Linked DNA regions of Callithrix jacchus. Each later gene encodes a partner of the first gene's protein in a complex. Links are inferred from orthologs where the notes say so. Each region holds a gene or a part of one and is shown on either strand. Other genes may lie near its edges.

What was found.
Region 2: the proteins of FGFR2 (region 1) and FGF8 are in contact, whole or in part, in a crystal structure (PDB 2FDB), measured with the Homo sapiens proteins. The link is inferred for Callithrix jacchus from reciprocal best matches to the Homo sapiens genes FGFR2 and FGF8. Residues at the interface, in NP_000132.3 of Homo sapiens: Glu160, Lys161, Glu163, Lys164, Leu166, His167, Ala168, Val169, Pro170, Asn173, Asp247, Val249, Arg251, Ser252, Ser282, Asp283, Ala284, Gln285, Pro286, His287, Ile288, Gln289, Ile291, His293, Leu309, Val311, Leu312, Lys313, Ala314, Ala315; in NP_149354.1 of Homo sapiens: His53, Val54, Gln57, Asp62, Leu64, Ser65, Arg66, Leu68, Ile69, Arg70, Tyr72, Tyr75, Arg77, Gly80, His82, Val106, Glu107, Thr108, Thr110, Phe111, Gly112, Ser113, Val115, Thr148, Glu149, Ile150, Val151, Leu152, Glu153, Asn154.

Annotation. Positions count from the first base shown.
Region 1 is NC_133513.1:115,006,272-115,010,373, forward strand, and holds the start of FGFR2 (fibroblast growth factor receptor 2), read right to left. Parts: upstream 2,801-4,102; 5' UTR 2,324-2,800; intron 1,002-2,323; exon of another isoform or gene 612-1,001; intron 458-611; exon of another isoform or gene 31-457; intron 1-30. UniProt on the Homo sapiens protein: Tyrosine-protein kinase that acts as a cell-surface receptor for fibroblast growth factors and plays an essential role in the regulation of cell proliferation, differentiation, migration and apoptosis, and in the regulation of embryonic development.
Region 2 is NC_133513.1:94,723,846-94,727,049, forward strand, and holds the end of FGF8 (fibroblast growth factor 8), read right to left. Parts: intron 2,594-3,204; exon of another isoform or gene 2,501-2,593; intron 1,742-2,500; exon of another isoform or gene 1,730-1,741; coding exon 1,623-1,729; intron 798-1,622; exon of another isoform or gene 792-797; coding exon 501-791; downstream 1-500. UniProt on the Homo sapiens protein: Plays an important role in the regulation of embryonic development, cell proliferation, cell differentiation and cell migration. Required for normal brain, eye, ear and limb development during embryogenesis.

The DNA of each region.
Region 1 (4,102 bases):
GCATTTCCAGAATGCAGGGGAATTTTCTACCTTTAACACGACTTCAGGAACAATCCTGAGTCCTGGCAGAGGTTTCGCCCCAGGCTCCTTCCCCAGCCTCCTCGCCCACCTGTCCATGCCAGAGGAACCTTGTTAGCTTCAGGCAGAGAAAGGTGGACAGGGCCGTCCACTGAATCTCAAGCCATTCCAACATCCCGCTAGCCCGCACTGGAGATTTGCATTTCAGCCATTTCCAGGTCCAAGCTCCACAGCAGCCCCCTCCCCAAACCTCTGGAAGGTGGAGACCTAAGGCGACAGGTCTTCACAGTTCCTCACCGAGTGGACAAAAGTATGGTACGACCTCCTAGGCAGGATAATTAGGTCCCCAGGCTCGGTGTTGGGAACACAGGCCCAGCATGCCGCTGGCGGCCACAATCCCGGCTTCCTGCCTTCAATACCATAATCCTTCCTGGAGTCTGAGCCCCAGTGAAAGCCCCAGCGTGTTTATTTTTCCCCTTGAAAGGGAACTCTCTTCTCAGCCCGCACGCGGGAGGCGTTGTCACCCTCCCTCTGATGGATGGCTCTTCTCGGCCGCCCGCCCCCCACCCTCCCTCCACCCCGTCCATTTTCACCTCGGCACAAGCCTGCCCCCAAAGACAGGCAGAGTGACAAGCAGGAAGGGCTTGGCTGCGGAGTGGTCCCCATGCCAGGCCTGTGCTGCACTCTTCAATTTTACCATATTTCCAAAATCCCGACCCTCTAAGAAGGCAGGCCAGTACAGAGCCCTCCGCTTTGGGCTTCCACGTAAGAGGTGATAGGTCCACTGCTGGCTCGGCCACAGGGAACACTGCTGTTTTGTTCCTGGGTAGATTTCACATCAGGAAAGTCACAGTGCCCGGCTCCTCCAAAGCGCAGACCCATCTCTTCGCTTAAGGCCTCCCTACCTCTTCCCAGCTGAGGAGGAAAGGGAGCTGTCAAGGGGTCAAGTCTAGGGGAGAAATTCCTCAACAAATCGAAATCTCAAAAATCACAAACTGGGCCAGGACCCCAATACCCTCCCAGTTTCATGCTTGCGTCCAATCAGAACTCGCAGGCAGCTTGGGGGTGCTCCCCACCACCACCCCTTTCGGGACAGCACTTCTTTCATTTGTTTGCCCGAAATATCCTGTTTTTCTCCCCCTTCTCGGGGCGCTAAAGAGCTCAGAGAAATCTGCATTTTAATTGACATTCCAGGGAGAGGGAGAGGGGCGCCTGATTGCTTTTCTATTCAAACTAAACAGGCTTTTCAGATGAAAATGAGTCGAGGCCGGTGGAAGATTTACACGGATTTGGGACCCGGGGACAATGAAGTTTTAAATGTTGATAGCATTTCACACCAAACACATAATGGGTGCCCTGAGTTTCAAAGCAGGTTTGCCTTTAACGGTAGGTTTGATTGAATTGGGAGAAAGGAAAGAAGGTCTGGAGAACGGTTTGCAAGGGAGCGGGCTGTGAGGGGAGCGACCGAGGCTAGTGGCCCCCGGGCCGGCCTCCTGCGCCAGGTCCGCGGGCCGCGAGGGTCGGAGCCAGCGCCACGCAGGGCCCTCGGCTGATTTCCCCAGCGCGGCCCAGTCGCCGAAAGAATGAGCGCGCAAGTTAGAACTCGCCTGCGCTTTCGACATCTCCCAGCCGCTGCGGCAGAGCAGGCAGGCGAACTAGAAAAAGTCGGTCCAGTTCGCCCCCTAGCCCCAGGCGCGCTGCGCTCCCTCCAGCGCCTACAGCGGCTGCGGGCTAGGGGCGCCCAGGCATCGAAAACCGGGCACCGGAGCCGCCGCCTCCCCAACAGTGCCACGCCTGGCCATCACCACCCCTACGGGATGTCAGCGGCCCCACCCCAGCTGCCCCCTCCCGAGACAGGGGTCTCCGCGGGGCCTGGATGGTACGGAAGCTCCCAGGACCCGCGGATGGGGCACCTCGGAGATGCTCCGCGGGACCCGGGCTGCGGGGCTGTGCCATCGGCAGGCGAACCCTCCGCCCGTCTGCTCTGGGGTTGGAGGAACGCGCCCAGCCAGAGGGAAAGCGCCCGCCAGGGTTTGACAGGGAGGGGGGCGTCTGCACCAGAGGCAGATGTCAGCATCTGGATGAAGGTGGCAAAGGCAGAACTTCCCCAACAAGGGCCGTCAGCACGCACCCACCTCCCCATCACCTATGCAGCCACCTAGGAAGGCCAGGGGGCGTCCCCCACAATGCCAGTCCTTCCGCGCCCCCCGCCCGGAGGACGCTGCACCCGACGTCCCGGGCTCCCTTGGCGCTCACTTCCCCCGCTGGCGGAGAAGCTCCCAGAGGCGTCTTCCGCGGCGATTACCTTGAATGGCAACGCTCCTCCGCGATCTGTGTTGTCCCCGCGCCCCGCGTGGGTCGGGATGGAGAAAGCGACGAGCCCGGGGTTGCGGGGAGCAACTCCAAAAGCAGAAGAGGGATCCCCAGGTCTTCGCCCGCGCCAAGGCTCCCGGACTTCACGCGCACCACAGGCTGCGGAGGAGCGCGGGCATGACGCTTGCGGGCTGCCCTCGGATTTGGGGAGCCACAGGAAGAAAGGACTCAGGCTTGGCGTTGCCTCCACCAAACTTTGCTCGCGAGTTGCGAAGGCTCAGAGCGCGCAGGCAAGCTGCGGCCTCTGGGCCCCCGGGGCGCGCGGCCGGCCCCCGCCAGCCCGGAGAGCAGTCCCCGCGCCTGGCCAGGTACGCCGCATGCAGCCCCGCGGCGCCCGAGCTTTGTGGCTGCCGCGCGCGCTCGCTCGTCCGCTCCGCACCCACCGCCCGCCCGCTCGGCTCTCCACCGCGCTCTCCTGCGGCCGCCGCCCGCGCCGCCGCCGCCGCCTCCTCCCGGCGGGTCACGCCCCCGCTGAAACCCGAGCCGTTTCCTGGACGGCGGCGCCCGCTCTGCCAATCAGCGCCGCGCACCCGGGCCGCCCCGAGCCCCGCGCGGCTCACGACGCCTCCGAGCCCTCGCCCGAGACACGGGCCGGGGAGGCGAGGGCCCAGCCGCGATCCGGCCGTGGGGATGCAGCGACAGCCTCCGAATAAGGCCTGGTCCCGCGCCCCGCGCGACCTCCTCCCTCTTCCTCGGGCGAGCGCGGCTGGCCAGCGGCTCCCGGAGCGGCCGCGTTAAGTACAAGTGACCGAAGGCTCTAACCCTGCCCACCCCCTAAAGAGACTTTAAAATGGGTCTGCTTTTGGTACTGCGGGGAGGGTTGTCAGGCAACTGAAGCTTTCGGAGGAGAGGAAGCAGCCTGGAAATGTTCGCAGGACATTGCATTTTTCTGTCTTTCTAAACAACAGAAATGAGAGGAAAAAACTGAATATTAATGGGGGCCCTACTATGGGCGGGTCACACTACATAGGTGATTCTATTTCGCCTGCCCAACCACCCTGCAGAGTAATATTCCCAGTTTCTGATAAGGAAACTGAAGATCAGAGATGTTCAGTAATTTGCCTAGGATCACACAGCTGGCTATTGAGAGAGCCTGACTTTGAATGTGGCTCTCTCAGAAAAAGCCAAAAATTGCATTCAAAAAAATAAGTGTTTAGTAGTATATGTTTGGATTAATTAAAAGAAATTCAAAGAAGTCTAAAGATTCAACTCTGCCATAAGTAGCTGATCTTGAGCAAGCTAATTCCTCCCTCTGAATCCTAGATTCAAAATCATAAATGCAAAATCTGATTCTTCAAGTCCACACCAAGCTGTAACTGGCTAAAGTTCCTATTTCCATTTACCCTTTTCCCTAAGCCGTGTCTTCGGATTCATTCATTTTAAATATGCTTTTTCTTCCTCCTTATTCATCCAGCTCCAGAGCAGCCGTGCTCGGTTCAAGACGGTATAGATTAAAACCTTAATTATTTTTCTTTAGAAAAGGTCACTAAACCCAGAAATGCTTTAGAATCCTTTTGAGGCCTGAAGATAGATGAAGCATTGAGAACAAACCTGACTTGGAAAACAGACTTTTCCTGCCCTTAGAAACATATTTGCACCTGCGTCACTAGCATTGCATACTTCCTAACATTTACAAAAATTTTTTTTCAAGGTGCCACATGATTAGAAAATCATTTTTATTCACAGTATAGCACAGAAAACATTGATGCGA
Region 2 (3,204 bases), about 20 Mb from region 1:
ATTTTTAATATGCAAGTTAAATAACTATTTCAATCATTTAATAGCAACCAGTCTGATACCCACTTCTAGAAGGACTGGCCTATGTCACAGTACTTTCCTTCCTACCCCACCTGGGGGTGCAGTGGAGTTCTTGGCTGCCCAGCCAGCTGGCCCTGCAGGTGCTGGGGCCTCAGCAGCACAGGCTAGAGAAAGCCCCCTGTACCCCCCAAACCTCCAGTCGGAATCCCAGTCTAAGCCACTGATGGGGCTTTCTGAGAGTTAAGAAGACAGACACCACAGCCAAGTGGAATACAAAAATAGAGCCTCTCTTTTGTTTAAAAAAAAAAAAAAAAAAAAAAACAGCAAAAACCCAACAGCAAACAATATCCACAACCGGAACCCAGGGCTCCCCCAGCCCCACCCCGGCCTGCAGCAGCACAGGGCTCCTCTGGCTTGAGTTTTGGGTGCCCATCAGGGTGCGCCTCTCTGTGGTCTGGCGCTGGGGGAGGGCCGAGCAGCACCTATCGGGGCTCGGGGGCCCAAGTCCTCTGGCTGCCACGCAGGCTGCGCGTGAAGGGCGGGTAGTTGAGGAACTCGAAGCGCAGGCTCTGCTCAGTGGTGTGGTGGCCTCGGGGCAGCCGCTTCATGAAGTGGACCTCGCGCTGGTGCTGCCGCGTCTTGGAGCCCTTGCGGGGCCGGCCCTTGCGGGTGAAGGCCATGTACCAGCCCTCGTACTTGGCATTCTGCAGGGCGGTGTAGTTGTTCTCCAGCACGATCTCCGTGAAGACGCAGTCCTTGCCTTTGCCGTTGCTCTGCAGGTAGGGGAGCCAGACACCACGTTACAGAGCCCACCCCCGCCCCCGCAGAGGCAGAGGGCAAGCAGCTCCAGACAGCAGGTGGGCACCCCAGCAGATGGCGAGGTGGGCAGGAGCCGCAGCCCCACCCCCTGCCCGGGCACCCGCTCTCTAATCCCTCACAACCCGCAGCCCACCCGGCAACTTCCTGTCCCCCCAGGCAGCAGTGACACATGGTTGTCTACGGAGGGGCTGGGCCCCAACTCACAGAAGCAGAGAGAGGGGCCCAGAGCCTGCCTGCTCTGGCCTCCTGCCCACCAGTCTGGCCACCCGTCTCCCCACCTGCCCCTCTCATCCCCTCAGGACTTTGGCTCCCTGGCCCTAGGGCAGCCACCCTATGGGGGAGGGGAGGCCTGGGAGGAGACGCTAAGACCCCATCCCCAGAAGCCCAGGAAGCGGGGCGCTCGAGGCTGGAGAGGAGCCGTGACTAATGGGGCCATTTTAGAGCTCGGCCGAGGGGCCGGGCGTGCGGCTTACTGAACATTCCAAATGCTGGTACCATGTAATTGGACATAATAGCAAAGCAATTTGGCGATTTGTTAAAAAGATATATGGAATTTACCAACCCCCCCAGTCCCTTCCCTAGCCTTCGTTCTTCCTCCTTTGCCTTTATAGCTTTTCATCTCTCACCCTCGCCCCTGCACCCCATCACGAGGTAACCCCAAGACAGCCCTGTGTCCCTCTGGCCACCCTGTTGGGATCAGAGCACAGGACTGTCCTGGAGGAGTCCAGCCAGCCCAAGCCACCCCCCAGGTCCCGGCAAACCACACCTGCCTGCCAGGGCCTCACCTTGGCAATCAGCTTCCCCTTCTTGTTCATGCAGATGTAGAGGCCTGTCTCGGCTCCTCGGACTCGAACTCTGCTTCCAAAGGTGTCCGTCTCCACGATGAGCTTTGCTGTCAGAGAAGGTAAGAGGATGGTTATTGGCAGATCCCTAACCCCAGCTGGCCCACATGCTTGTCACAGCCCAGCAGCAACTGCTCCAAAGAGCAGGAACCCAAAACGTGGACTTCGGCTCCAGCCCAGCTACTACTATGCTGTGCAACCCAGAGAAAGGGCAAGGTGATTTTCTGGACCTCAGGTCCCACCCTTGGGTTTACAGAGGGCAGTGGATGGGATCATGATTTTCCCCAAATTGGGTTCTCAAGAGAGGTCTTGGGACCATCAGATTGCAAAAGCTAAAGTGCTATTCCTTCCACCCTCTTTTTAAACCAGACAGTGATGTCTCTTAGATTGAGGCTCCAAGTAAAATTTAATTTGATCAGAGTTCCATGGCTAATCAAAAGACCTCCGAGGAGCCTCCAACTCCGAATATTATGTGCAGGTGCCTCAGAGGTCAATACAAACATCTGGGTGAGTGGTGACCTCCAGTCCCAAGGCCAGAGATAAAAGCATTCTCTCCTGTTCCTGCCAGTTTGGGTTCTAACTCATAGCTTCGGCCACCCCCAGCCCCTGAACCCCGCCAGGCTCTGCTCTGCTGAGAACGTGCTAGGGGTGGAGACAGCTCCCCATAAACACACGGCCCAAAGCAGGGTGCTTTCCCAGAACCTCAGACACCTGCCAGGAGGATCCTGCCTCTTCCCTGTGGCTTCCCAGTCACAAGGGTCCCCAACCCCAGTGTCCAGAAATCAACAACTCAATTGTTTTTTCTCTCTTTTCTCTTTCAGCCTCATCACAGCTGGGCTTCTCACCCCAGTGACCAAATACCTTTGGTGGGTGACGAGGAGGGAGAATCGGACCGCTAGCCTCTTAGTCTGGAGGTCAGGAAGCAAGGCTGAATTCTGTGCCTCCTTCCCCAGTCCCTTCCCCTTAGACAGCCAACTTGCCACAAAAGCCTGTCCCGTTCACGTAGCTATGCAAACCTCTCTTACAGGCTGTCCCCAAGAAAGTAGTGAGGCTGACTCCACTGTTTGGGAAGGGACAGAGGTGCTGGCTCTCCTGCCCTCCCTGTCGCAGAGCCTAGCCTCTCTGCTCCTTGAGAAAGCAGTTCTGGGATTTAGCCTGCATTGACACATGGTACCTCCTCTGTCCCTGAAACCCATGGCAGGGGTTGGGGGCATTGAGGTCAGCAAGGTAGCCATCACTGCCCAGCCTGTAACTTCCCCCCACTTCACATAGATGCTATGCTGGGACCCATTGGCCAAGCCCCCAGTCTGGCCCCAAGTCAGCAGAGGAAATGCAGCTGTCACCTCCCTGCGCACCCACCTCCTCCTGGACCTAACCAGTCTCATCCCTCTCCTGCGTTGCCTTCCACAGCAAGAAGTGGCTATTTTTAAGGGCCAGCCAGGAAGGCTGCTGACTGGAGAAGGAGTGAGAGGATGCCACTCTGGGGATTCTGGCCAGATGCGGCAGGCAGGGGTGAAGGAGGTGC